3 linked regions of the Struthio camelus genome follow. The protein of the gene in region 2 interacts with the protein of the main gene of each other region in a pairwise test. Links are inferred from orthologs where the notes say so. Each region holds a gene or a part of one and is shown on either strand. Other genes may lie near its edges.

Region 1 (9,744 bases), on a different chromosome or scaffold from region 2:
TGTTTACAATGTAATATCAGTTCTGGGCAACAGATATTAAAAAAATATGTAAGCCGCTAATTTCCCCCACAACCATTCTCAACCCAATCCTAATCTTTAAAATTACAGATTGTCTCATACACAAAGCAAAGCCAATGAAAGCACCAACTTTCCCACTGTTTCTTCAGTTCCCTATTTGGGGATTATGGTTTCACAGCATCACTGCAGCACATACTCAAGATCAAATATTAAGGGAAAGGTTTAGGAGCAGTGCAAGAGTATTAGCTAATTGTGCTTCCTCTGGTATGGCAAAGGGAAAGTCACTCAAAAAATAAAGCCTTTACAACTTTTATAGAAATTACATATTTCAGGGTAATGCATAGCTTCTTCTTTTTTTTAAGAATGGCTATGGAAATGAGATGTCAGCTTCACCTGTCATATAAGTACAGATTATTCGTTTTTGTTTTCTTTTAGTGAAATGTAGTTCAATTTTCATTTTTATTGTTCTTAATCTGAGTACTAACAATAGCATCCGACATACCTATTGCATATGAAATATTTCTCTTTTAGCCTGAAAACTCTGGAATTCGTGGCTTTTCTTGATATACTAGCTACATGTGTGTCAGCTCTGGGTGTTCAGTGTTGTTTTGTCCTAAAGCTGCTCCAAAACACAATTCATACAACGACCATCTCCATAGCAGGAAATGCACACTAAGTAACAGAGGAATGACCAAGACATTTCCTTGAACTTTGATGACTTGCTCTGCATAGGAGGCTATCAGGGCTAACTCCTAGGCCTAAAAGTCAGTACGTAGACCTTGCTCCTCAGGAACAGCCAGAGTTCCCACCTTGAGGTGGGCACAAAGACAGAGTGAGGTAACTCGCGAAAACTACCCAGAGGGGAGCCTAGGGTTTATAGCAGAAGCCCATGCACTGGATCGAGGTAAATGGCTGCCACTTGAGAAGGCACACATGCCCTTTCTTCAGGTAAAGTTACTGCCCCCTGGCTGAGCCAACTGTGTGTCTATCTTGAATTAAGTGATGAAGACAAATGAACAGCTGAACACAGGAACAGGATCAGATAAACTGGGAACACAAACCACAACAACCTGCAAGGCGATCAAGGACAAAGCCTGAAATAAACCATAGCCTTAAAACACAAGGCAAAACCAAAAATCCCCAGAACACTGCAAACGTATGGGAAGAAACAGCCTTTTCCTTGTCATTGTACGTCTGCTGTAAAGAGGATTCAACCGAAGAGCCCAGACATCTCATGTCATATCACAGAATGGCAGACGTTAAAAACATCACTCCTGCTCCCAGCTTTAACATACCTGTTTATATGACATGAATGAACACGTGCCTATTTCCATCATTATTCCAACATCTATTTTAGCTGCACTTAGATCTATGGCTGTATGTGTATATGTTCTTTGCTCATCCCTTCTCAGACAAGAATCTCTCTGAACTTTTATTATGCAATGAAATTAAAGGTAAATGCAGAAGGTAGTCTTCAATGGCTCGCTCAGCATTTGCTTTCAGTTCTAGCACTGTTTGTCAAGAATCTCAGCAAGAGAAGTGCCCGAATGGCTACAACACTGTCTTTTGTTGTCAAACTTTCTGGGAACGTCTCTCAAATCAGCACCTCTCCAAAGGAAGAGGTCTGAAGGCATGCACTTTCCACTCCCAAAGCTCAAAACCTACGAGAACCAGAAAAAGAACTAGAAGTTATTAAATATTAATGCAGTTCATGCCTGATACAAGCCTAGTAACAGTTCACTGCCATATGAATACCATATAGCCACATGAAACCATTAAGTTACTTGTCACTCAAAAAGTCAAGACAAAGTAAAACAGAAAAGGGGGTAGTTTACATCATCTACATGGTTAAAGAATATGTTATATAACTGTCTAAACACAAGAGCTAAAGAGACTCCCCAGCAGTAAGATACTTCCTTCTCTAATGCTGTAAAACATTGCCCATATTCATCTTAAAACACTATAGTTTTCTTAATCACAAACCTAAGGACTGGACAATTTCTGGTACATGAGAAAAAAGATACTTCAGAACGCTAAAACTGGTTCTGCATGTTTAAAGACCTTATGCTCTTTGCATTAGAAGACTTCCAGTTTTATTTTTTAAATAATTAACAGACCATAATCAGAAGTTTCAAAAGTGGAAACACTTCCTCCCACCCTCTTTCAACTTTAGATTAATAAATGACTGTTTGATACACAGTCTCTATCTAATTTCTTCTACTGTAAAAGCACCATAAGACCAAGGCCTGGAGCAAGGAGAGTCAAGTACTGTCCATCCTTAGGATAGGTTTACGATAGGTGTGTAGGACAATATAAAGGAAACATATTTGCTGTATCTGTTCCATAGGTAAATATGAGCACTCAGATTACTGAAAACTCATCAGCTTAACTGTTTGGGGAAGATTCTGAAGTTACATTGTATAGATAGGGTATCTAGTAGGTGGCTCAACAGCTGCCAAAAACAGTACAGAAGCATACTTCTAACTGCAGTTTCCAAGTGGAGGGAGAAACATGACAACGATCGCTCAATCTCCTGTGACACTGAGGTATATCATAGCGTACTTCTCTACAGATTCCCAGGCTGGCAGGAGAGCGATACTTCAAATTAATACTGCCTTTTTTTTTTTTTTTTTTTTTTTTTTTTTACATACAGTATAATATATAAGATGGTACTAGAAATGAGGGACTATGGTAAATGGTTCTCCTGTAACAAAAAAGTGTTTGGCAGCTGACTTTCAGTAATTAGGCTACAAGTGATATGATTAATGAACTGATCTTTGAAGATTATCTCTATGGGTTTACTCAGTGAGATTCCAGCAAAAACAGATCCTCTGCAGATGTTCTCCCATCTGTGCCTATATGCAGACGACTGCTATAATGAAAGCAAAAAATGGAAGTTATCTGTTTACCACTCTCCTTCCATAAATAAATTAGAGCAAGAAAAGGAGGCATCCCTGGAATCAAGACATGTTTTCAAATCCCTTGCTACAGAAAAGTTTTTTCCGATCAATTGGATGAAGAGAGGAAGAAGAAAAAAAGTTTTTTCCTAGAGAGAAATAAATCACAAAACCGGGACCGTAACCATGACAGGAAGGTGAAAGCTTAATGGAATCTTCGGACGTCTGGTTCACACTAAAAGCAAGAAAGCAACAAATGAATCCCTTAGTTTCCTCCAGACCATTTGGAACAGACACTTGCCTGTCTGATTATCTGTCCTCAAGGCAGTGGCAGTCTTGGAAACAGAAGAGACTGTATTCAAGGCATAATTCATGCTATGATTTCTTCTCTTACAAGGAAAAAGGGGAGATTCAGAGACAAAGTAGCTGCAAATCTATATGGTACGGTCATGTTTTCATTCATGGCTCTCGTAGCATTAAAGGGCAGCAAGTCCAGTATAAATTTATGTAGCCTAACTCCAGTACAAATTTAAACCTTTTCTAGAAAAACAAAAGTCAATCTTTGCCCTTAAAAGCCAAATCACACTTGCAAGTTACAATGACTTTTTCAAGTTCATTTAAACCGTGAACGACTACCCAGCTCTTCAGCAACAGATAGCTACTGACTTAGTGTTGCCTTACACCATCCAACAAAACAATTAGCTCCACTCTAATTGCCAGAATTGCCTTGCTGCTAGGAAGTTAGCCAAGAGCTCGTAATCCTAGCCTGCAACAGAGAATAAAAATATACTTTATGCTATGAATTAGCATAAAGTTTATTATTACTATTAAAAGATTAGAGAAACAGGTTCTGATACAAACATTCCTTTCTATCGCATTCTGTTGGCCCAAAATAAGCTTTTTTCTCATTTCTAAAAGAAAAAAAAAAGACAGAAGAGTGGAAAAAATTAGTTCCAACAACCTTACTTCTAGGAGCCTAAAAACTCTGACTTCTAAAGTAAATAGGGCTAACATAAAATTACAAACTTGGCATGTCATGTGCAATATACCTTTGTAGTGCAGATACTTGCATCTGTTAGCACTCCTTTCACAAGGTATCAAGTGCAGAAAATAACCTAAATTTACTAATAAGAGAAATTATAAAGAACTTGAATGACATTCAAAATTATTAAAACTTCATATGACTCACTTAGCCTTTATTATACCTACAGTCGTGAAAACAGCCTGACAGAACCGAGGGAGAGTAGGGAAGAGAAAATAGTAAATCTGTAACAGTGATTAAGCAATATATAACTGGCTGAATAAACAGGAAAAGAAAACAAAGAGCAGCTTGAACTGAAAGGGGGAGCTTAACCTTTGATACACTAATAAATCTAACAAATGCTTAAAACTCAAGAAAACCTGTTACCTCCACTAGAAACAAACCCACAAATCTTTTTTCAAGAACTTCTATAAAAGCATGTTCATACAGATATTTTTCTCCCATGACCAGTGAGGAAAGTTCAATTAAGGGCTCTCATACAGAGCAAAACCTAAATCTGCCCTTCTGGCTATTATCTCCCAGTCATGAAAGCAGGTATAACATCACTGACTTTTCAAAGCTGGCAGATGAAACACCTGGCTCTACTCATGGCTTTTATCGCTACTGCTCTGAACATCAATACAGCTAAGAATTGTCTGCTTATCTTAGCTTTTCTTCTGCCACTTTTCTCTTCTGTTTAAAATCATGCCTTAGAAGTAACACTGGAGGCAGGCACTGGATGGATTTGGAGGTTGAGAAAGGTAAGGAAAAGAAAAGCAGAGCCTCTCAGTATTACAGCAGGCAGAAAAGACTAACAGACCTCTCCCTTTTTCTTACATATAACACATGCCTCAAATGTAGGTAGGTGGGTGTAGGTGTGGATGGGTAATACAGATAAAATAATGCAGGACAGTAACTAGGGAGCTCTGCAGTAACAACAGGGAAGATAAATTTTACTCCCTGTAGAAGACTGCGTTCAGCACTCCAGTTTCCCAGCTGAAGATTCAGATATAAGAAGGGTAACAGAGCTAAGCACAGTGATATCATCTAATTTCTACTTTTCAGGCAAGTGTTCGGAAAAGAAAGGGCTTCCGAACGAGCCTTCCCTCGTTCCCCCATTCTGTCACTGTTTTTAGTTGTTTTATCTTTTAGCTACCTATAGTTCGGTAAAACTTCAAAATCCTTTGTACGTTTGCATGACCAAGAAACAGGAGGGTTTGCTAAAATGAAGAGGAGACATGATTATAGGCATAGGAAGGGACTAGGAAGCAGAGGAAGTTTTCTACTTTGAGCAAGAAGCTTTAACAAAAATTATAAAATTATACATTTGGTAAGTGACATGAGAGGAACTGACAGAAGAGGAGCAAGAGAGAGAGGTACTATGTAGACAGCCATGCAAGCAAACAAGGAAGCCTAATTCATTACAGGAAAGAAAAATGAAAGAAAAAAAGTTAAGTTCAGGCCAAGAAATTGTACCTAAGTAAGCTTTTTTTCCTTTAAACGAAATTGCAGAAGCATCTTAGCAGTTTCATTTTTCAATTTAGTTAATATTCACAAAGCTAGAACATTTCTCCCTGAGTCTGACCAACACGGCTTTACTTCTGCAAGCAGAAGTACCAAGTATCTCGGGCTAAAATCCTTTGCAAAATAACGAACAAACGCTTTTGAGCCCTAACCTTCCACCAGATTCTTCTGCTCATCTTCCACAGCTTTTTCCTTAACGCTCAATCCTCTCCCTGCGTCTTCCTCAGGAAGCAAAGTGGGAAACCCTCTTACCTTAAGGAACAAGGTAACATTTACCATCCCCTCAAACATCAGTGCTGCTACCGGCACCCAAGCCTGTCTTTGACCTCTTATTAATGGTGGCAGGGGGGAATAACCATTGATGCATGTACGAAGCACAGGCAGCTCTCCTGTAGCCCAGCTCTCTCGCAGCAGCAGGCCGCCTGGCAGCTTTCAGATGCACCTTTGGCACTGCTGACAGCAGAAGCCTCCCTCCCCTTTGTCCTACTTCAACTTAAACTCTCTCATTGGCTGGGGTGCAGGTCCCTGACCGAATGCTGCTATTCCCTCCCCAAATTCACCCCCAGCTGCACCTTCCCCACTCTCTTCCGCACACTGGAAATCCCCTAGATCCATTTCTGACTGGATTCTTCCAACAGACAAGAAGAGGATTTCACTTCAAAGAAAGCTGGCTCCCTGCATCACGGTGGGATGACAGCAAAGCTATTTTGGATTTCCCGTAACTACCACTAGAAAGCCTCTGTGCTTTCCGAAAAAGGGAATGAGACTTCTGCCGTTAACTACAAAGTGAGGAAAAAATTCTTTAGGAAAAGAAAGGGAGAAACGTATTTCCTACTAACCTTTTATAAGGAGTATAATCAGCAGCAGCAGCAGCCGCCTGCTCTGTGAAACGTAGAGAAACTTTCCTATACAACCATGCTAGCAAATAACTCGCTCTATTATGCTAGACTACTATATTCACCCCTTCTCATCCTTTCCAGCTTTACAATCAAAAGTTTACACCCGGTATTTTTCACTGCTGCTTTTTTTCAAACACTGTGATTCAATGCATGAAGTATAACGACTCTTACAAGAAGTTTAACTGAACAAGACTTCTTGACATTCTTTCGATGTTCCTGTAAACAAAGCGCATCTTGATATACACATATATAAAATATATGAAAAAATAAATAAATCTATTCAGAAATTACCATAACGTTTTAATGTGTTCCATGATAAATAAAAGTGCTTTACATTATAAAGCAATGAATACACAGTAAGGACTCTGCTGTATCAAAACACTTCAGGCATTGAATTTTTACAAATTATTACATTAAGCAAGTGCTTTTCTTCCAAACATAATTTGAGATCAAAATCAGATGAATGACAGTCAGAAAAGGCTTAGAGTCTCCATGAAATACATATTCTTCCTTTAAACTAATCTCACTTGAACGTCTAGGCTACGATCTGCAACCTAACAAAAAGTAGACCAGCCTCTATACTCAGAAGTAAGCCACTGAAATTCCAGCAGTCCATCTACACAGATAAGTTTACAGGTCTGTATTCACATTCATCTTTTGTGGCTCAAAGGGAATTAAAAAAAGCTTTTGTACCTTGACCGAATTATTTGTTTTCTCTGAAAATAAGACTACAGACTAATTCTTTTTCCTTTTATGGGCCTACGTTTAAGTTCTAGCAACTTACGTACTGTCCCAGCCCTGAACTCTGCCTCCTCTAAAACAGCAAAGACTTAAGTGCTGCTGAAGATATATAATTACAGCTAGATCTTTTTCCTCACAACGGGAGTTATGACAAGTTCAAATCAAATAAGCAAGGAAATACTGTGTAAATATCAAGACAGTCATCCGCAGTCTTGCAAAATATTTGTCATTTTACGTCAACCTATGTTTCCAGGATTCCCATTTACCTCAATCAGAACAGTTTTGTGGGTCGTTTTATCTGTATATATTAAATGAAATTGTTGCCAGTATGTTGTTCCCAAGAAAATATAAGCATTACTTGGAAGCCAGTTCTGCTGACCATCTGAACAATGAGAGAGGGAAGAGAAATAACTAAAATGGATTAAACTTACTCTCCAGCTTACCTCCAAGATAAGACAGGTTTCTCTTCTCCATCAAAATCAAGTGAATTTCTTTCAATAGCATACGTAGGTAGAGGGGATGGAGTAAGTGTATGCATGGTGAGTTCACTGTTGTTCCTTTCCTTTACTGGTGACATCAGTAAGCCTGCCTATTTATAATCCCACCACCTGACCAAACAACCTACACAGTACATCTAGAGATTTGTATAGTCATTAATCCTGACATGTCTACTTCAGCCAATTCAAGAGAGACTATTAAGGAGCTTTGTTATGTCTTCTGTGGCTTTATACCATAAAAAGAATCCAGTCCTGTTTTCCACGCCCCCTTTAATTTTGCAAAACAACTTTAATGGGATATTTTAGAATTAGGACTCTTTCTTCCTCCATGCTTTTCAGCCTCTCCTATTTCTTTGTAAGATGCTCCACTAAACACTTCAAATAAACAAGTTTTAGCAATCAGTTGAACACTTAGGCAGCAAAGGCAAATACACATTTTCATCCATTCAATTCGGACATCAGTACCACCTACAAAACTATTGAAGTGTCAGATCTCAATTATTCATTTTCAGAAACAAAACTATAGTATTTATGCTATCTGGAAAAAAACAACTTTACAGTGTCTGAAGAAAGATATCTTGCAGAAACTTGAGCCCATTGTCAAGAAAAAGTAACTCAAATGCAAGCTGCAAATAACTGGATGAAAAAAGAAAATCAAGTCTCAGTTCCGTTACCTTTTCTCAAAGTTAAACCTAACTTATATAGCAATGTGGAGCGCTTACATTTAAGCCTACCCAGGTACTTGGATGGAATACAGTCAGCAAACTCTTTGGGGCAAGCACTAATATCCACTGCAGCACCTTCTGGGAGGTTCCCATAATCAGGAGATGCTGCTTCTAGATTTGTATCAGGCCACATGGTGCTCTGAAGTGGCTCCTGTACCACCTCAGCCAGAGGCTAACATCTTAGGAGAATGTGTTTGCGCACAGAGTGAATAACTTTACTGACAGCTCCTTATCTAACCTGTTGCCTGAGAAATCCTATCACAGGCATCCATCACCACTATGCCAAGCAAAACAGATTAAGTCAGTTTTATCTAATACACTTAAGGTTAACTGAAACAATTTCTCAGTCTCTCTCAGCTCAATGGTTGGTTCTGTCCCAAATCAAGAACAGCCCGCACTCAAACTCAAGAGTTAACAGTGCTTAGACTGAACAAAAATTCCTTGAAATTTTAACTGCTTGAAAGGCTGAGGACAATGGTAGGCAGACCAAGCCAGACTTGCAGACTGAGACCACCAGTCGTGCAAATTTCAGTGCGAACAGGGTATTGATGCGGATTTTAGAATGCCAAAATATTCGCTATGGCCAATATGTTAAAAGATTCATGAATTCCTCTCGGAAGTAATAATTACCATCCCAGTCTAAAGGCTGCAGCTAGGAATAATTCAATTCATATTCAAATAAAACGTCTGATTTTTTTTTTTTTTTTAGTCCTACTGGTATCTGGTGGCAGTAATTAGCGTTTCCTTCTTTAAAGCTTTTGCATATAAAGCAACAAAATTATCACTATTGAAAACCACGTGGTTTTCACTCAGGGAGTCGCCAACACAATTTAAGACTATTCACTAGGTCATTAGAAGATCAGCATCTGTTTTATTTATAGTGCCAAATCAAAACACCTAATATAAAAATCCTGTGTGTATATGTTATATATTATCATTCATACTACTAATAACAAAACTACCAAGCATGCTTCATATAGTTGTGCTTCGGGTTTTTTAAATGGCTGTGCTAGTTGTGCTTAAGACGAGCAAGTGTCAGACACAACAGATAATCTGAAAGGGAAGAAAGAAGAAGTTTTCCATTTCTGTAAGCACGCACTTGGCTATTCCAGTACCTCTTAAAGAGGTTACATTTTCCCCCACCAATATCATTCAGCATAGGCTTTTCACACAAAACTTTAGAGATGACAAATCAGTATGAAAATACTACTAATATTTTTTCAGAAGCTCGCCAAAATACTAAGAATTTCAAAAGACCTGGAGAAAAAAAAGAACAGAGCTTAAAAGGGGCATTCAAATAAAATCTAAAGGGGAGGGTTACAATGGTTTTGTGTGAATGTCCTTAGGTCTAGAATTTTGAAGTGTTTCTCATTTCCATAAAATAGTCTACTCAAACTACTCGTCTTGGCACCTCTGTATCAG
Region 2 (9,744 bases):
ACGGGGCCGCCGGGCAGCACACCCGCTTCGCACAGGGCCCAGCGCAACCCCACAGCGACTGCACCCCCGGCTGGCGACACCTCAACCCCGGCGACGCTTCCTGCCGCTCCGGGCCCGGCAGCTCCTCCCCGCTCCCGCGGAGAGGAAAGCGGCAGAGCTCCCGGTGCTGGCAGCGGCACGGAGCTACCGAGCAGCAGCAGCCGCCCGCCCGCCCCGGCTGGACCAGGCAGGACCCGGGTGCCGCCCCAGCAGCCGCCTCGGCCCAGGCCCCGGAGCCCCGGCCCAGGCCTGGCCCTCCGGTAACGGTCCCCCCCGGGGCCCCCCCCTGCGGCCTAGCCGCTCCCGCCCCGCAGACAGGGGCCTGGGCTCCCCCCAGCCCGGAAATACGCCCGTGGGGGGCCGGGCCGCGGCGGTCCCACCGCTGCCCAGCGGCGGCCCCGCAGCGCCGCCCCGGGATGGCGCCGAACCGAGGCCGATGCGAGCCCGGAGCGCGGCCTCACCGTGGCGGCGGCGGCGGGCCCGAGAGCGGAAAGGAGGGCGCATGCGCAGAGCGCCGGCTTCCGGCCTCCGAAAGGCCCCCCCGGCGCGGCGGGTGGCCGCGGCGGTGCCTGAGGGAGGCGCGCCGAGGCCCCCGCCGCGCCGGGCAGCGGGGTGTCCGCGGCGGTGCCTGTTTGGAAACGCGCCCCCTTCCCGCGGGGCCGGTTTGGCCGCGGAGAGCCGCCTGCTCCCCCGGGCCCTCCCCGCCACGCTGCCCCACGCGATCCCCCCGCGTTCCCCAGCCCTTCCTCCCTTCGCCCCTGACGCCCAGAGGGCAGCACGGCGCGAGGCCTAGCCCGCGTGGAGCGAACCGCACTCCTCTTTTGGGGGCCAAACCGGCGTTTTGTGCATTTGGGGCGGGGGGGGGGCAGAGCTGGGGGCGCGTTGGCACAGGAGGGCGTTTCTGATGTTCCCCGCCTGCCCCGGCTTCGCCAGCCGCCGTCCCGTCCCGATAACGGGTGCGCCGATTTCCTCCACGTGAAACGAGGAGAGAGGAGCGCGGCGGCGGCGGCGGCGGCGAAGCCCTGGGCTCGGCCTGCGCTTGTCGCCCCCGGGCAGCGGAGCGGCCGCCTGCCTCCAGGCCTCAGGTCGCCGCGACAGAGAAGGGGCGGAGGTGGCTGGCAGGAAGGCAGCGCGTTATCCCAGCTCGTTATCCCGGCCCGTTATCCCGTTATTGCTCTAGGAAGCAGAGCCAGGCACCGGCAGAGGGAGGGGACGTCCGTCCCCTCTGCGCTTCGCAGGGCCCCGCTCGGCCCCGCACGCTGGGCAGCAGAGGCCTGGGGCGCTCAGTGCATGGAGCGGGCAAGGCCACGGGTGCCCCGGCTGCCCTCAGGTCTGCCGGCTGGAGAAACCCGGGGCGCGCGTCCCCGCGCAGGCTGGCCACCCGGGGCCGGCAGCAGCGCTAGAGGGAGCTGCTGTTATCCGGATGACGAGCCGTGCCCGGCGCGCCAGGGCCGGACGGACGCAGGCTCGCGGGCGATGCCAGCGTGGGCGAGCCGCCCCCGCTCCCCCCTCCTCCAAATCTGCGCCAAACGCCCCAAATCCTGATCGCCGTCTCTCCACCGCCGCCTTACCCGGGGATCCCCCACAGCCCGCTGGCGCGAGGGGGCAGCCGGGGCGGTCAGGGGCTTGCCCCCTTTTTCGTCTTCCCAAATCTCCCTCCTCAAAAACCTGCCCTGGATATAGGGCTGCGGGAAGTTTTCTGATCCCCCTCCGCGGGGTGCCCGAGCGAAGAGCCTCCCGGCACAGAAACAGCTCTTCCCCAGCAAAACCAGGCAGGGCTTCATTTAACGGAGCCTTTAAATATTTCATCGAGCAAGTAAAGAAATACAGCCCGTGCCTTGGGGGGGGGCTGCTGCCCCCAGGTCCTCGCACCGGCCAGCTGCTGCCTCGCCAGACGGTGCACGCCGGCGCGCTGCCTCGCGGCGAGGACCTTCCCGCCGAGCAGCTCCGGCCCGGAAAGGGCCTTGGAGACCAGCTGCGTCGCGGCTCGCTCGCCTTCCCCCGGCAGCAGCCCGTGCGTGGGAAATGCCATCACGAGGGTCCCTTTCCCAGCGGCTGCTAGCGATGCCGCCCGCAGGGCCTGGCGCTGCTCTCCCAGCCCTGGCAACCCCGGCCCCGGAAAGCAACAAGCACGAAGCTTCACGTCCCAGCGGCTGCTGGACCCCGTAAAATGCAGCCCGTGGGTCTCCGCAGAGCGTTTTGACATCTCAAGAGTTTGGGAAAACCCTCAAATCACCGTTTTTAAATCAGGTCAGGGAGGAACGACGGTGCGTGGCAGCTCCGCATGCTGCTACGTGTTTCTGCTGCGGCATCCGAAAAGAAGCGGCACCTTTTCCTTCTTCAGCTTGGCCCACGGGGACCCCCGCGGTCACACGTGTCTGGGCCTGATGGGATTTGCAGTGCCGACTCCTTTTCTCACGGTGGAGGCAGATTGCTGGGATCATCCTGCACACCCTGGCGGGGATTAGCGTCCTGGGGGCGCGTTGCCAGCCCCGCTCCGGCCAGGGCGCTGGCCGCGGGTCCCTGCCCCGCCGCCCCTGCCCCGCACGCAGACATCCCTATCGCGTCCGCCCGGCGCGGCGCCGGGGTCTCCAGACGCTCTCGGCGTTGGCTCGGCTGCTTTTGCCATCGGTCCTGGGAGCGAAACGGCAGCAGGAACAAGGGCAGCGCTGGGACGGGGAAGCCGCGAGGGGAAGCCAGCAAGAATAGGTTTTAGCAGGGAAGGCAGCGCCGCAGCGAATCGCAAACCACCCCTCAGCGTAGGCGAGATGCTGTCCGCGCGAGCATCCCCAAGCCCTCTGCAGGTGTTCCTGAGCACAGACAGCCGACGGAGCGGAGCGGAGCGTTGCCTCTTTTCACAGGGAGGAGAGAGCAAGGCAGGCAAGGGGAGCACCCGATGCGCACACCTCCTGGGGAATCTCCAAGCTCTTGCTTGTCTGCTCTGACTGCAGGACAGCCACTGCCGTCCCGGCAAGCCCGGGATGGTGCCTAGCACTGCATCACAGCATCGCTGCGGGAAGGCCTGCGGTGGCCCTGCGCTTGCAATAAGCCCTGCTGTTTCCTGCAGGTGGTGCAGGGAAGAGCCGAAGGTGAGGAGGAAGCGACACACCTGCGATGCCCTTTGGAGCCGGGCTGTAAAGCCCTGGCTGGGATCCTGGGGGCAGGATGGGTCTTGCAGGTGTGGGGAAAACGTGGGACGCACACGCAGGTCTGCCGAGGAGAGCTGCCGCTGCTCCCTGACCTGGCTCACGTGCTCGAGCAAAGGGCTTGGGGCTTGTTGAAGGCGTGCAAAGACCCTTTTGCACCCCGGATTACCCCAGCCAGGAGATCTGAGGGCAGCTGGGCCACCCGCAGCCCAGCTCGGCAACCTCTGCACCGGCACTGAGCCGTCCCTGGGACGGGGTGGAGACGCCGCATCCTCTTCTCTATCCTCTCTGGTCCTTTCGCATCTTCAGCAGGACGGGACGAGGCCCTTTCCGTGAAAGGCTCAGCCCCTGTAATTTTTTGACTGGGGCAGGAATAAGGAAAAGGTCTTTTCCTTCCCGTCCTGCACTGGTTGCAGCACAGGGCACGCTTGCCTTTTATCTTTCCATCTGCGTGTGTATGTACGTCTACCCACTCCCCGTTGTGCCGCCGGACCCCTGCCTCCCTGTCGCTTTGGGCTGACATGGAGCTGATCAGACCCCGCGGAGCAGCAGAAAGCAGCGGGGCACAGCGCTTGCCTCCCTCCCGGCTCCTGCTGCGGGCTCCCGGCACCGCTGCAAGGAGCCTGCAGAGCTCCCCACGGTGTCGGCGCGTTCACACTGCGATTCGGGCTCTGTGCGTCCGCTGGGTGCCGCGCGGCTTTTGCGACCCGCAAACGCTTGGGACAGGCTGACCCAGAAGCTGGGCAGTGCCAGACTGGCTGTTTCCTGCACCTTGCTCCAAGGAGCGCAACCTCCCTGGACTCCAACACGTGCTGGAGAGAAACCTGCTCTGCGCACCTCCGGGCTCGGGGCCCTTCTGTCGTTAGGAGGAGCTGAGAGCAGCTGGCTGCGCTTCGGAGGAAAAAAAAAAAACCTTCCTTTTTTTTTCCTTGAAGCAGGTCCGGCGAAACACAGTGCTTTCGTACCCGATGCAGGCACGGAGCCGCCGTGCACCTGCGCTCGCTGCAAGCGGCTCGTCCCTCCTAGGGCGACCTGCTGCCTTCGCCCCCGGCACTGCCCGCGCTGCCCTGTGGGCCAAGCACGGCCGCCCGCCGGGGACGGCGTCCAGGCGCCCCGGGGCGCCGCGGCGTCCTCCTCTCCCACGCCGGCGCTCCTCCTGCCTGATTCGGAGATGGAAATGCCAGAGCCGGGGCCGGGCTCCCGCGGGCGGCAGCGGGGAGAGGGCTGCTGTGCCCTGCAAACTGCCCCGGCTGGACCCCGCGGGGCTTTGCAGTGCGGGGACCCCCCAAATCAGCCCCGGGGTGCCAGGGGCTGGCTAGGAGAGCAGAGGGAGAGGAGCAGGGAAGGAGGCTGCAAATAAAAGCTTGCAAGGGGGGAAAAAAAAAAAGAGCAAGGAAATGAAGGAGAGACGAGCCGGGGGGTATAGGCAGCGGGACGCCACAGCTGCCTCCGCCTGGCCAGGCCAAGCCGGGCTCCAGGCTTATTCCTTGCTGCTTCTGCAGTAATGTTTTCACCTTGCGCTGCGAAGGAGTCATTGCGCCGAGCCGGGGCGGCGATTGGCTGGCTAAAAATGCCTCTCTAATCTCCGTGCTGATCTTTACCCCCCTCCTCCCCATCTGCTGTGACCTTCCTTCCAATGTGCAGCGCCAGCCGGAGCGAGACGGAGCCAACCGGCCTTGCCTGCCAGCTGCCCGGGCGCCCGGGCCACCCCGGTGGGCGCCCCTCGCCGCTGCCCATGGTCCCCGCAGCCTCTCCGCGCAGGTACCGGCACGCCGTCCCCGGGCGCCCGGGGGGGTCGGGGCAGGCGACGACGGGCGGCCGGGGTGCCGGCAGGCAGCGGGTGGCCCCGGGGCGGGGGGCAGGGCCCGCTGCTGGGAGCCCGCCAGCTGGCCCCCTCCGAAGCCGGGTCCCTAAAGCTTTCCGTGAACCTATGACACAGAGCTGGAAGCCGAAAACGGGGCCCGAACGGCCCGCAGATGTCGTGGCCGTCGGCGCCGAGCGAGCTGACCGCTGCGCTCGTCTCCCCGCCGCCCCGGCGGCGCCGTCTCGCCCGGCCGGCGGGCAGCGCCGCGTCCCGCGCCCGGACCCCGGCGCGGCCTTCCAAGGGCCGTGGCCCCCTTCCCAGGCGCTGCTGCGGGCCGAGCCGGCTCCTCGCGGTCCCGCGGCGGGGGCAGCGCCAGCCCTCGGCGTGCCCCGCCGTGCCTAGCCCCCGCGCCCCTCGCGCCCCCTCCCTGATCCCTCTCCGGCGTCGCCTGCCGCAGCATCCTGCCCCCCTGCCCCAAACCCCCATCCCCAGCGCCCTCTGGACACGTTGGCCAAACGCTGATCCGTCCCCCGGAGGGACCCCGGCCCCCCGGTGGGTGCCAGCCTCCGGCAGGGCCCTGGCAGCGCCCCGGCCCCGGCACGGCTCTGCCTTGGGCCAGCACCGCGGGGGCCGCCGGGGGGGAGTGGGGGGGTTCCTCGGGGTCTCCGAGAGGGGACGACCTGCGGCGGGGGCTGAGCTCCGGAGGGGCTCGGAGAGCCGAGATGAGAAGGTCTGGGGGAGCTTCACCATCCTTCCTGGCCGCTTTGCACCCGCAGGAGGGGGTGGAGGGGGTCCGTGCGCACGTGCTGCTGGGGACGCCCCGAGGGGCGCAGGGCTCGCGCCGGCCGGTTTCGGGGGGCCCCGGCGCTGCGGAGGGGCAGCCGAGCCGGAGGCTGGTGCAGCCGGGGCGCGCGGGGCCGGCAGCCTGGTGGCATCTCCGTCGGGGCTTTGCTGTCGCTTTGCACAGCCGGGAGGCAGGGGGAGGCAGCCAAAACGTCGCGGGGGCAGAGCCGGAGATGCTGCCCTAACTGCGGCCACCCCCCGGGGCGAAACGGCTCCTCTTGCCGGGCTCGTCCCCCCATTCCCACCGCAGCCGCCAGCCCCGCGGCACCACTCTTGCACCCGCCTTGGGAACGGCCAAGCAAGCGCTTTGCTAAACGGATTAGAGCCGGCGCTTCCCGCCGCCTCTCCGAGCCGCCTCGACCCTCCGCGCTACCCTCGGAGCTCGAGCGCCGGCGGCTCCGAGCGGCTGCAGGGATCCCGGCGATGCTGCTGCCGGCCTGGCCCTGCAGCCCCCGGGGGCCGTCGGTCCCGCGCCCGAGCACGAGGACGGTCCCTCTGCTGCGGAGCCCGGAGCAGGTCCTTCCCGCTCCTCCTGCCGGGGCAGCGGCGTTGCCAACAGCGCTGGCCCCGCGCGGGGAGACTTTGTCCCCTCGCCAGGCGGCCGGCCCGCCCGACGTTTGTGCGAGGCCTAGGAGCGAGCCGGGTGGCTGCTGCAGCTCTGCAGGCGCCGGGGGACAGCGAGGTGCCGCCGGGGCCCGGCCGGCCGGGGCGATACCTCGGCGCCTCTCCGCCCTGCGCCGCGAGCTGCTTTCCCAGGGGAAAATGGAGCCTTTGTGGCGCGGCCCCTGCCCCTTCCCCGGAAGGGCTCCGACGATACCCCCGGGGCCGGCGGTTAGCGGACAAAAAGGGGATTGTTTGGGTGGGAGCCGGGTTTGTGGCGGCACCTGCGCCGCGCCGGCGGGGGGGGCCCTGCACAATGGCTCGCTTTCTGCAGGACTGCGCTCGCCCGCCGCTGCCGCCGCTAATTAGAGATGCAAAATAGCCCCGCGCCTGGCTTCCCACGGCCGGCGGGGGCGAAGCTCGGCAGCGGGAAGGCTGGGGGCCGGCCGGGGACCCCTCTCGGCCCCTCCGGCCGCCGCGACGCTTCTGCTGCGCTCCTCTGGGAGGGAAGCGCCTTGCCGCGCTGCTGGCAGAAGCGTCATCGTAGACCGCCGAGCGGCCCCCTAAATCAGGCCTCGTTTCCTGCCGGCGTCGGTTGTTGCTTCCCACGCGGGCGCTGATTTTGCAGGAGGGGAAATAGTAACCCGTGGGATAGTGAAAGCCGGGGGAAAAGCGTGTCGGGGAAGCGGTTTTGGGGGAGAAGCGGCTGGCTCTCGTCCCGTGAGCCCAGCGCCAGCTCGGCAGCCGGGCAGACGCGGCTCCCCAGCTGCGAGCGAGCCTGCCAGGCAAAGAGATGTGGCTCAGCTCGTCCGAGCCCCGATGCTCAGAGCGGTCGCCCCTCCGCGTCCTGATGCCCCCGCGCAGCAGGCGGCGGTGCAGAGAGCGGCGGCTGAGACCTGCCAGCTCGCGCCACCCAAGGACTGCAGAGCTCCCCGAGGCGTTTGTCAGGGCGCCGCTGCCCAATTAGTCTCCCGTCTCCGCTTTCTTGCCGGAGAGTCTAACGGCCTGAAGCACCAAAAGGCGAAAATCACCCGGCGTTTTGCAGGAATTGTAGCCGAGGTGATTTTGCAACGCCGAAGCGCTGCAGCCAACCGAGAGAGGCAGCCGCAAGGCAGGGGGCTGCCCTCGGCCCGCCGGGACGTCCCCGCTCCGGCCCTGTGCCGGCTCGGCGGCCTGCGGCGCGCTGCCCGCCGCTCGGGGCATCAGCAGACGAATCGCCCGTCGGGGCGTCAAATCTTCTTCCCAAAAAGTCTCTGCTCCGCCTTTGCCAGGTCTGGTAGGTGGCTCCTTCTGCCAAACGTGCCGGGTGGCAAAACCAACCCCAGGGCACAGCGGCTGCAAGGGGGGCGAGGAGCCCGATTCAGCGGGCTGGATTCGCCACCTCGCCCGAACCCCGCCAGGCGCCCGCAGAGCCCGTCCGCCGCCGCAGACAGCGCAGGGCGCCAGGGAGGCGCTGGGGTGAAGCACCCGGAGCGAGCCGGCCCCGGCTCCCGGTGGATGCTCGGAGCCGGGCTGGGGAGTGCCGAGGCCGGGGGGGGGCCCCCACCGAGCTTCATTAGCAAGTCAAAAGTGCTCGTTAGAGGAAAGACGAGCTGGCAGTGGAGCCGCGCGGGACCCGGCTTGCGTCCTCTGGGCAACCCGATCCGGGCGGCCGCGGCGCGGGGCAGCCAGGCAGCCTCATTAGTGCAGCCGCTGAAGGCGGCTTCTATTACTCAGCTCGAAGCTCTTGTCTCCTGCTGCCTTTTAATTCCCCTCACATCGCCGTCGAGCCGGGGGATGATGCCGAAACGGCGCATTAGAGCAACTCAGAGCAGGGGGGCACACGGCTGAGTCCCGGCGGGCTCTGCTGCCCGTGCACGAGGGGCTGGGACCCCCCGGGCCGACACACAGAGCGCCGGGACCCTCGGGATCCTAATTCAGCTCTACCGAGAGGCTCCTGGCAGTGCAGCCTGGGGCAGAAAGCAGCCCCTTTGCAGCCTAAATGCAAGGGAAAGCTGCAGCAGGCAGTGCGGCAGCCCTGGTCGGTGGGTGCTGAGCACCTCGACCCCAAGACCGGGTACACTAGGACCATGCCTTAGCGAGGGTCTCCAGCAGGGCCTTGGTGGAGCTGGAAGGGGCTTGCAGAGCCCGACAGCGAGGCAGCACCCACAGCAGCACCCAGGGCCGGGTGCAGGACGCAGCAAGCGCATGCCCGGCTCGCTGCCTGGGGGACCCTGGGCTGGGGGCAGGAGACGGTGGGGGGGGACTATCCCCCCGCCAGGATGAGGTTTGCAACCGGCGCAGGCAGCGGCTCCATCCCCGTTGCCATGACAACGGGCAGGCTGCAGGCAGGGCGCGTGCCCGGGCCCGTGCACGGCGCTGCTGCACGGCCGGCGCGCAGCGCAGCGCGGCCGCCCCGCCGTGCCCGGCGCCCCACAGCGGGCCCACGCCGGGACCCCCATCTGCCGGGCACCCGCCTGCCCCAGGTAAGCACCGTCCCCTGTGGGGCTTGGCCGGGGCAGCCTGGAAAGCAGCACGAGACACCTGGGTTCCTTGCAGGGATGGTGATGGGGATGCAGGATGCCTGTGCCCCCTGCACAGACAGGGATGGGGATGCAGGATGCCTGGATCCCTTGCAGGGATGGGGATGAGGATGCAGGATGCCTGTGCCCACTGCTCGGATGGGGATGGGGATGCAGGATGCCGGGATCCCTTGCAGGGATGGTGATGGGAATGCAGGATGCCTGGTTCCCTTGCAGGGATGGGGATAGGGATGCAGGATGCCTGTGCCCACTGCACAGACAGGGATGGGAATGCAGGATGCCGGGATCCCTTGCAGGGATGGGGATGAGGATGCAGGATGCTTAGGTCCCCAGCACGGCTGCCACGCAAAGACTAGGCAGTATGGCATTGGTTTGCACCCCACAGGCAGGATGCGTTGTCCCCCAATGCCAGGGAGGGCAGGGGTGTGCACAACCTTCAGGCCCCCCCAGTGCTTCTGAGGGGGTGCCAGGGGCAGGGGACGCTTCGTCTGTGGTGCTGCCTCACTCACAGGTTTGTGCCTCAGTTTCCCCAGCTGTAAAGGGAGGGGGGGAGGGAGGGTTTGTGCTTTCCCTCTCGTCACTCTCCCACTACCCAGCTGAGATCCTCACCCCCATCACTGAAATCCCTCCTTTTGCAGTTGCAGCCCTGGCTTCACCCCTCGCCCCCCCACCTACAGTCCTTCCACCCCATCCCTGTGCTTCCTACCCCCGGCTTTGACTCCCTCCAGCTCTTTGCCCAGTCTCCTTCCCCACCAAACGCAGCTCAGATCGAGCCAGCCCCCTGCTCCCA
Region 3 (9,744 bases), on a different chromosome or scaffold from region 2:
CTGGAAGGACAGAGAGAAATTGATAGCAGCAGGAAAAAAGTGTATAAAAATATTTATTGTTTAAAAATAAAAAACTGTGCAAATAGTTCTGGATTTTTTTTAAACACAGCACATGGCTTTGTAAAATGTAAAAACTACCAAATCTATTCCGTAAGTGCTCTACCCAGTAACAGTCTGCAAATAAATCAGTCAACTTGACTAGTTATATAATAGGCTTCCATTTTTCTTGCAGAGTGGAGCTCAGATCTTTGTGGTTGGCTATGTTGGCTGTTAAGCAAAATCTGTTTCTTTTTTTTAATGTCTCTGAAATAGAAAGGTCAAGAACGACTCAAAAAATGGAAATGGAGCTGCAGCAGCATGAGGCATTCCTCAGGTAACTTCTCAGGCCCTCACTGCAGGTCCCCAGTCGACACTTATTGGGAGAACCTCCTCAATACGGGCCCCTAGCAGCCATGGGGAATGCACTCTCTTCTTTTCCTAGGCTGTAAAAATCAGGTACAGGGTGTTCCTCCAGCCGGTCAAACTCATTGAGGCGGAAGTGAGTAGCCAGTTGGTTTACCATTTTTTTCAGGGTGAGAAAAGCTGCAATGACTTGGAAGGTGAGGAAGAGAGCAAAGATGATATTGACTGCTCGTTCCAGTGGCTGGATTTTCAGACCTTCATTGAACAGCAAGAAGAGAATTATAGGCAACTGCAGGAGAAGACTCAGGAGCCAAAACCCAGCCAGCTCAGGGACCTACAACAGGAAAACATCAGTTAGTTACCTAAAAACTGGCAGAAGCAGTAGAAAATAATACAAAACTTTGTGGATAAAATCCACACTTTTATCTTTCAAAAGCCAGCACACAATGTGAAATGGTGAAGTGAGGTAGTTTAACGTTTCCATATACAGTGTTTTTAACAATACTTATTTTCCTGACAAAACAGTTTTGGTAGGCAGGAGGTCTCCTTTCTGAGGGAAAACTTTCTGGAATGCACAAAAGTTAAGGGAAGCAAAAGCCAGGGAGATGAAAGATGCAGACTGTAACTGACAGAAATAACCATCTCCTCACCTTAAATCTCTTAGAGGAACTGACAGACCGTTTTATTTATATTCAACCCCAAGTTCTCCTGTACAAATTAATATGGATGTAAGGTAACATACCTTCTCCTGGAGATTGCCCATGTATCCTAGGTAGAGCCGGATGACCTCTATCAGAGAGGCTAGGATGATGACTGTGACCACAATGAACTTGTAGTAATCTGACAAGACTGGATACTAGAGGGAGGAAGAGAGTACAAGTTTCTACCATGCCGTTTCACAATGCGCTGTCTTTGGTTAAATGAAGACACTGAATGCCACTGTAAGTTGACAGTGTTGTATTGGCTTTCAAATGCTCTCAGAACCTCCAATTTCAAGCAATTCCCGCACGAGCCTACTAAGCTCTAACTCCAATGAGCTCCACCTCTGTACTAGGAGGTGTCCAATCAGAAACGTATTAAATCTGTCAACCGTTACTTTCCTTCTGGACTCACCTTCAGCTGGAGCATGACAACAGTGCTGAGCCACCACAGTGGGAAAAAATAAACGTTGAAATAGAGGGACATCTGCAGTGGTAAACTTGAAATGATTTCATTATCTGTAGATAGAAAGAAGTCTTTATCACTTCTAGTTTGTTCCAGATGTACCTTCACTACGTGTGGCAGAAAGATACTGCTCCATCTTAGCTTCAGGCAGGGCATTAGCACTGATCTTAGGTAAATTAAATATTAAGAATGGCATTTTCAGAGACCCAGAGGAAAAACTCTGCCCTATTTTGGGTTACACCATTTCCCAGGATCTAATGTAACTTTCAGTTCACAGGATATAGAATTTTGATCCCTTAGTTATAAATTCAAATCAAGTGTTTGACTGTGGAGTAAATCATAAGCCACCAGCTAATCAACAGTCTCTGAACTAAATTGATAGGCTTTGTTCAAGTAGTAGTGTATCCTGACATTGTAGAAATAGTAAGTGCCAATTTTATTTTTGTTCTCTAAGAAAATGTCCCAAGTTTAAATGAATACACTTATGGCTTATTCTCGTTTTGTATCTGACCCTCCTGGGTACAGACTTGCTGCTAGAGAGCAGGTTTGCAATGCCCACTCTCCATTTTGAATCTTTATTTAAGATAGACATTTGAATACACAGTGACACTGCAAGATGACAGTAATTCTTTTACTTCTTTGGAGCTAACAGTTCGTCATACGTATCAAACTCAAACTTATTTCCGTCTCTCCAGACTTTAAAGGATAAGTTGACACAATGCAAAGAAAAAAATATTGAACTGCATAACACTAGGCAGGCTGTAAATTCTAAAATTAGGACTTAGCCATAGATTTAGAAGATTAAACTCAAACAAAGAAAAACTTACCAGGGCATCCCAAGAGAATTGTTTGTTTTTAATGGACTAAGTTTTATTGCCACAGTCTAGTTAACCGATGTCGCATGCAATTTACTTCAATTACCAACAGTCTCTTTTCTCACGTTTTCCCTAAATGCAGTTTGCAGACAAATCTTCACTTGGTACTACCTGAGCAAGTTTAGAAAGATTTCATTGTGAGCTGCTGCTCTGGACCTGCTGTTTTGTATCTAAGTCCCGTGCCCCAGCGTGCCACCATGGTGATATTCAATTGAAACTCAGATTATCAGCCATGTTTTGTTCACCTTTGACTTCAGAACCACCTCTCTTCTGATAATGCCATCTCTTGTCATATCTTCCAACCATTCTCATACCTGTCTTTGTTCCATCTCAGTCTGTCATCCCTGTTCCCCGTTCCACCACATGCAGCCTGGTACAGTCTGTTCCAGAAGTCTTTATGCCAGTTGCAGAAGTGTTCATGGTAGCTACTGGGCTAGGTGGGAAGGGAGGAGGATTTGGGGACAGAACTGGGACAAACCTTAAGGGTAGGGTTTGATGGGCGAGGATTTGCTATACTGAAACAGAAGGTGCAAGACAACCAATATTTTTAATAATCCCATTTTTAAATATCAACACTCTCCTACATCTGCATGGAATGAAAATCTATAGGTACCTCAAAGCAGTTTTACTGTCTACCTAAATTTGTCCGAGGAACTGTCAGCTGTTCTAATGAATGAATCCCTAAATACCAGATCTAGGGTACTAACCATGGATTGTAGAGGCACTGAGATGCAATTCTAAAACACTGTTTTATCTTTCAAAAAATCAGACTATCTAATTATAACCAACTGTGTTTCTGTCCCATTAGATGAAAATGTAATGTTATTCAAAAAAAGCCAGTGAGAATGTTTTGGGTACTTTTAGGTCTTAGTGACAAGGCATGCATACTGGTAACTTCTTCTCAAGTTTTAAGACTGTGTTTTGGATGAATGTTTAGCAATATAAGCCAAGTCTAATTCATCTTTCTACACCTAAATCGAACTACTGTTTACTTTTTGGGATTGTAAAAATATGTGGAAATGCCAGACAGTAACCCAGTGGCCCCTTGGCACCAGGGCAACTCACTAAAGTATGTATGTGTAGACTTAAGATTCAAAAACAGGACCTCAAAGAGGTTAATGGTCTATTTACCATTGGTTTCAATGGGCTGGACATTCATGTAGGAGTTTTCAAGAAAGAAAAGGTAAAATAAATGATTAAAATAAGAAGCTATTCCTGGAGTTAAGAAAAGCGTCTCAGTGGTGCTTGGTAGCTGTAATTAGGAATTGATCTGGCTAAACGAGGAAGTGCTAGCACTATAGATAGACCGGTCTAACGACACAAACAAAATGGGTTCTCTTGAAATAATAATAGCTTTTTGCTTTATTTTATCATCCTGCAGGTTTCACTAGCAAGGTGACGAAGCTATCGGTCCTTATTGGTAAGAGCTGCAAGAAGAAGGTTGAAGGTCTGGGTTTTTGCTTGGTTCGTCTCCTTCTGCTCTGAGCGTCCGGTGGGTGTCCTAACTCTGCGTAGGACTATTGGGCTTAAAACAATAGCTCCCGTCTTTTATTTGTTCTCAAGGTTCTCTATAAAATCATTACTACGTTTTAATTTCGTATAGGTGGAGTGTACAGTGTGTAGTATTGGTGTCTTTTATCGGTCATATTTTATGCCGACTCGCTTATTGAGCTGTAAAGGTGGGTGCAGAGGGTCGTGCGGAGCTGCTTTTAAATCAGACTGTTGCGCATTTAATATTTTAAGTGCCCGGGAAGCCAGTCTTAACCCTGCGCCACTGAAGCACGTTAAGTGCAGGGGGAAAGATTACGGCCGCTGTTGTTTTACTCCAGAAAACACCCATTAAGTTACACTACATCATCGACAGCGAAACCAGAGACCACGTAGAGACCGCCAGGCCCGCGCCGGCCCTCCCTCAGGAGAGCGGAGACACCGCGTAACGGCCGTGGGCGCGCGGCCCCGCCCCAACGGCCTCTAGGCGTCGGCTGGTGCCGCCATCTTTATTCCTGGCAAGCCCCTCCCCTCCCCCGCGCGCCTCGGCACCGTTCCCTCGGCGGGCGCTGTCCCCCGCCGCCATGTCTGTCGCTGGCACGACGCCCGGCCAGCCGCCACCGCCCTTACCTGCGCTGTTGCCCGGGGACTGCGGGCCGCTGCGGCGGCTGCTGTCGATAAAGACAGTGCGGCTAAAGGAGCCGAGCCGCCTCCTCAGGGGCTCGGGCAGCGACATGCTGCGGCGCCGCGGCCCGCCGTTACTGTGGCGACGGGGCGGCGCGCAGGCGCAGTGGGGCCGGCGGCGCGTCCGTTGGCCGCCTCAGGACGGCGCTCGGCGGGGGGAGGCGCTGGCGTGTGGGTGGATATGTTTTTTCTAGTTTGTTTGGGCACGGCTCGTTATTATTATTATTAATTTGTTTTTTTTTTTTTAAATCACGGTTACAAAAGGTTGTTTCAGCAGGCGGTTGCTTCCCTCCTGAGCAGGGCTGTTTTCCATCTCTATGAGGGTAAATTCAGGGGATCCGTAGTGTTCAGTGATAACTAGGGAGGGAGAAGTGGAGTAAGGGTGGACATTGTTGGAGCTATTTAATTCCTCAGAGTGGGTATTGTTTTGAGTGGCTATCATACAGCGTTGGTTTTATGATAGATCGAGGTAAAACTCAGCTAGAAAATATCCTTTCCTCGAAGAAACCTGTTTGTGGCACAGCTGAGTTAAAAGTAGTGGTGATATCAGCAGAGCCTTTTAATTCCAGTTAGCTTTTATGCCTTATAGGAAGTCTTCCTGGGCAGTAAGAAAAGCTCTTGTTTTATTTTGAACGTATAGGTACTTTGTGCCTGAACCCTAATAATGCTGTAATCTGTCACCAGGATTTTTCAGAACACTTAGGGCCTGGCTCCTTCTGAGGAGAAAGGATGCGTTTTGTAAGCCTGGAGGAAATTATGTTCTGCCTGACCAGAACAAAAGAGCAACTTGTGCCCTTTCCTACGAGGGCTGATAACTTTTGAACTTTTGTGATTTTTATGTACCTAATGTGACGTGGCGACTCCCTTCCCTTCTCCTTCCAAAAATCATATTTAGCTACTTCCCTGGGTGCTCATTCTCTAGTATGACTTTCCAAGCTCAATTATCTCTGACTAAATAATTTAAAGCCTAGTTTAAATTTAATTTTGCCCTATTCCACTGGGAGAACCCCAGAGACAGATGAAAAACATGAGTTCTGAGAAATACGTTTGGTTTAGTGCTGATGAATGATGTAGTATTCACAACAGATACTTTTCAAAGAGCTTCCCCAAACAGATGTATGCCAGCAGGGACCTACATAAAAAACTTGGGTCCTTCAGAAGAGGTGAAGTGATTTTTAAATAATTGCCGCAGGTTGGAGGGGAGAAGGGTCTCGAGGAATCCAGAATTCTGGAAGGATCCCAGAATTTCAAGGGATGCTGTGCATGTCCCCTAACAGGCAAGGAAGGCAGCAGGCTTTGCTGTGGAAGTACTCCTAGAAAATGAAGCTTAAAAGGTAGGTGATGCTACAGATAAGACAAAACAGAAGCTTAATCCTGTGCAATGCTGTATGCAGTTTCTGTTGAATCCTACAGAAAGGGATGCAAAACTTAAAACAGGTCCTGGGCACAAGAAGGCAGATATGCTATTAAATGTAAGATATTCCTTACAAAATAACAAAAGAAAAAAGATAATGTAGCTCTGTCTGTACAGCACTGACCACAGCTCAGCAAGGCTGCCTGGACTAGCCTTGAGCTAGCTAGCTCAGGTTTGCTGCTAGGACAGCTCTGCAGGGAAATAATCTAGCAAAGGCAAAATGAGTATTTGTCCAGCTCCTTTGACCTGACTGTATCTGACTTTGAGCTCTGTCTTATTGTAGGCATACTGACAATGGTGCCTGAGTGAGCTGGCCTATTTGATGGAGTAGACATACCAACAGTCTTGTGTCCCAGCCAGACATGGACCCCAAAGCTCAGAGCTGTGAAGGCACTGGAGGTATACCATAGTTTCAATGACTAAAATCTGTGCCTGTGTGCCTGCTAATTAGCTGACTACCAAGTACAGTACTAGAAGGGTTTAAAGCTCTCTTTAACATTTACGGCAACGTGGAAAAAAAGTGTTAGGTAGGTTGCTGAACGTTTAAGAAATGCAATCTGTATTTGTTATTTTGCCAGTTGCCAGTAGGTGCTAGAAACAGGTTTCCTACCAGACTCAACAAATGATTTTTGAGTGCTTTTTGCATCATCTTGCACCTCTTGCTGTAAAGTTGTGCTATAGACAGTGGCAAGATGATGAATCCGTGCAAGATTTCTAATCAAGTTGCCTGAAACCCTGTTTTATTGTTGTTGCCTTGGTCCTAATCTATTTCACACCCTTCCGATTAGGGGTGCACTATTCCCATATTCTCAGTTAATTACACCCAAGGAACAGGTGTATATGAATTAAAAGCGTGGTTGGGTTTTGATTAAGGAAGATCTTCATGGAAGTTGCAGGGTTTTTCATAGTATAAGCTGGTGGCCTGTTAAAGTTCAGCCTTTAAGGATTTTCCTCTTGATTACTTTTTCAGAATGGAAGGAGGAATTTTTCCTAGAATGCACAGTGTTGTTCCTTTCCTGTTGCCAGTGGCTTTGAGCAGGGGCCCTGATCTCCCAAACTGATTTTCTTACGTTCCCCCATTCTGAAAACCTATGAAGCATACAGTCGGGTGTCCTGTGAGCAGCTCTATGGCAGTCAATGGAACTTGGTAAAATTGGGCTCTGCACTTTCAAAACTGTGAAGCAATCCAGCTTAACAGTCAGTGAAGTGTGAAACTGAGTAGCAGGTAAAGGAAAGGCTGATGGAATGCAGATACCACAAGAAATGCCTGGATTTGCCATGTGAACTCAATTTCCAAACTCAAGGTGTGAATCTGTGATATTTGGCAGCCTCACGTTTATAGCAGATGGCCGAGCATTCCACACGTCCCCGCAAAATAAAATTGTGCACATTTTTATTTCGTGTTTTGGTGTCCGCTCAGACGCTTAAAATACTCCCTGAAGACGGAATATGCTTTTTGTTTTGCTAATCCTGCTTAATTTTCTTCAGGCTGAGTCGTGCATTTATTGTCAATGTAATGAACAGAATTCCTCTGATTTTTTTTTTTAGGGTTTTTTAGGGAGCAGTTTCAAGCAGAAAATAATCTGAAACCCTTTAAGTATCAGAACACCAGGGTATCTGCATTGATAAATCAAAGCTTCATATAACAGAAGCTTATAAATATATGCTATAAGGGGTGACAGAAAGAAAAACGCTTAGCCGTGTGTGACTATAACAGTTATGATGGCCATCTGTATAAATAGTGTAAGTATCCAAGTTTTATAATAAAGTTGTATATTGGCTTTTTATTTTTTAACGGAAAGGCATTCCGTTACTGAATTCCTTTGTGTCTATCCACCTATGAGTGCTTAAGGTAGAAATAGACAGATTTCCAGTTCTCCAGGCTTCAAAATAAGCTACTGAAATGAGAAACTGGAGGAAATAAACCCATAGTTGTGCAGCATATTAAGTGACTGTTTTATTTCTCTCGGCACATGCTAACTATAAATAAAACAAAAGTCACTGAAAATCTGCCTGAAAGCTTTAAATCAGAGGAATATTGGATCTTTGTGTATCCACAGTAGTCCAACTAAGTTGGTAGACACTGGCTTGGCTCCCAGACCGAAGCTCCTGGGGCTCTCTGGCAACAGCACTAAGCCATAAACACCAGATGCAGTATATCTAACGAAATTAAATATCAGCAGTTTTTTACAGCTGGCATTTCAGAAACACAGAGTTCATTTAAATGGTGCCAATGGTTTATCTTTCCACCTGAATCGCAATTGCTGTATTTCTGAATGTGCTGGTTTGGAATCTCACAAATGTTGTTTTCCCTGGCATGCCTGCGCTACTGCCCCTTAGATAGCTATAAGCATGCAAGCAACAGAAATCATTCTTCCCTTTGCTTGCCCTTTAATACCTGCCCAGTGTTTTAATAGAAATCCTGTAAAACATGTAAAAAGTGCTGGTGAACAGAGGTATGCACAGACAAGCAGAGTATAGGCTTGTTTTCTCCTTCTGTTCTCAGAAAGAAGTGACAGATTGGGAATTTTAACAAATTACAAATGCCATGAGGACTCTCTGTGTTTGAAAGGATCACGTTATTAGCTGTGACAGTGTCTGCCAGAGCAATTTCACAGCTGTGCGCCTGGCTTGCGGTACCCTAGGACAATCTTTTCTCCATGTCACTTGAATGCTACTCCCTGGTGTTCGTTTAACACCTAGAGGATTTTTGTGTCTGGTAAACAATTATTGCTGCTGATGAGACCTATTGGAGGCCCCTATTTCAAGCATTATATATAGCTGCAGTCCTTCCATGCATTAAATATATCTTGGCTATTTTAGTCTTAAGCATAAAGACAGTAGGGAAAAAAAAGCTATTACTTGCTCCCATGAATTGATTTTCTTCTTGCTGTACTTGGCATTTAGTTAAAACCGTTTCCTAGCTTGTTTTGTTTTGGCGATTTTTAGTTTTATAAAGCACGTTGGGAAACTCAAAGCTGGTGCTGCTGTTAAACCAGTTTTACTGTTTGTTTTGCAGAAGTACTAAAGGACTATATGGTACAGAAGGAGGTACTGTAAATGGATGAATTTTGAGCCATATTCTCACTTACACAAACGTCTGTTGTCATTGACGTGCCACTGAAAGCTTTTCTGTGTGACCCGACTGGTGCAGAGAGGCCCCTTCTTTTCCAAAGGTGGCTCTGGAATAGCCAGCAAAGGCCATGTTATAACGCTGTCAGTCAGACTGACATGTGAAATTCAGGTTTCATTTTTCTGATCATAAGCTTTGTCAGCAAACGGATGCTCACTCTGCTTCCAGACTTTACGGGAGATAAATTCTGCCCCATTCACACCTGCAAGTCTTGGCACGACTGGGCTTTCTGTGCCTCTCCTCTCCCAAGTGCCAGAATTCAGGCTTCAGACTTAATCTTTCAGGAGGTGCAGAGCAAGGTGGTGGGGGCTGTCGGTAATTCTCAGCAAAGCAGGTTTCATTCGATATGCAGTCGGAATAGCTGCGCTGGTCTCTTTGTGCAGAAATGTGCAGTGAAAAACCTGCCTCGGCTCTAGAGTGGCTTTGCAGCCCTTTGTAGTTGCAGGGGAGTATGTGTGGGAGGATACTTTATTGCAGAGGATCTGATGGCTTCAACTCTGTTCTCTTTTCTTTGCCTGAATAGGTAGGTGAGGTGATCTTTCCTGCTGTAATTTTTGCTGTCTAAATATTACTTGTGCAGTCCA

What was found.
Region 1: the proteins of PACSIN1 (region 2) and COBLL1 interact in binary tests that used the Homo sapiens proteins (3 or more experiments, as listed by UniProt). The link is inferred for Struthio camelus from reciprocal best matches to the Homo sapiens genes PACSIN1 and COBLL1.
Region 3: the proteins of PACSIN1 (region 2) and EHBP1 interact in a two-hybrid assay, tested with the Homo sapiens proteins (2 studies listed by BioGRID and IntAct). The link is inferred for Struthio camelus from reciprocal best matches to the Homo sapiens genes PACSIN1 and EHBP1.

Annotation. Positions count from the first base shown.
Region 1 is NC_090947.1:25,499,460-25,509,203, reverse strand, and holds the start of COBLL1 (cordon-bleu protein-like 1), read right to left. Parts: upstream 5,919-9,744; 5' UTR 5,733-5,918; coding exon 5,713-5,732; exon of another isoform or gene 5,613-5,712; intron 3,300-5,612; exon of another isoform or gene 3,217-3,299; intron 1-3,216.
Region 2 is NC_090965.1:5,557,035-5,566,778, reverse strand, and holds the start of PACSIN1 (protein kinase C and casein kinase substrate in neurons protein 1), read left to right. Parts: upstream 1-4,800; 5' UTR 4,801-4,946; intron 4,947-8,807; exon of another isoform or gene 8,808-8,897; intron 8,898-9,744. UniProt on the Homo sapiens protein: Plays a role in the reorganization of the microtubule cytoskeleton via its interaction with MAPT; this decreases microtubule stability and inhibits MAPT-induced microtubule polymerization.
Region 3 is NC_090944.1:140,243,956-140,253,699, forward strand, and holds the start of EHBP1 (EH domain-binding protein 1), read left to right. Parts: upstream 1-4,781; 5' UTR 4,782-4,936; intron 4,937-5,890; 5' UTR 5,891-5,947; intron 5,948-6,310; 5' UTR 6,311-6,426; intron 6,427-9,744. Other genes in the region: TMEM17 (transmembrane protein 17), read right to left, coding at 431-736, 1,145-1,258, 1,516-1,619, 4,560-4,665. UniProt on the Homo sapiens protein: May play a role in actin reorganization. Links clathrin-mediated endocytosis to the actin cytoskeleton. May act as Rab effector protein and play a role in vesicle trafficking.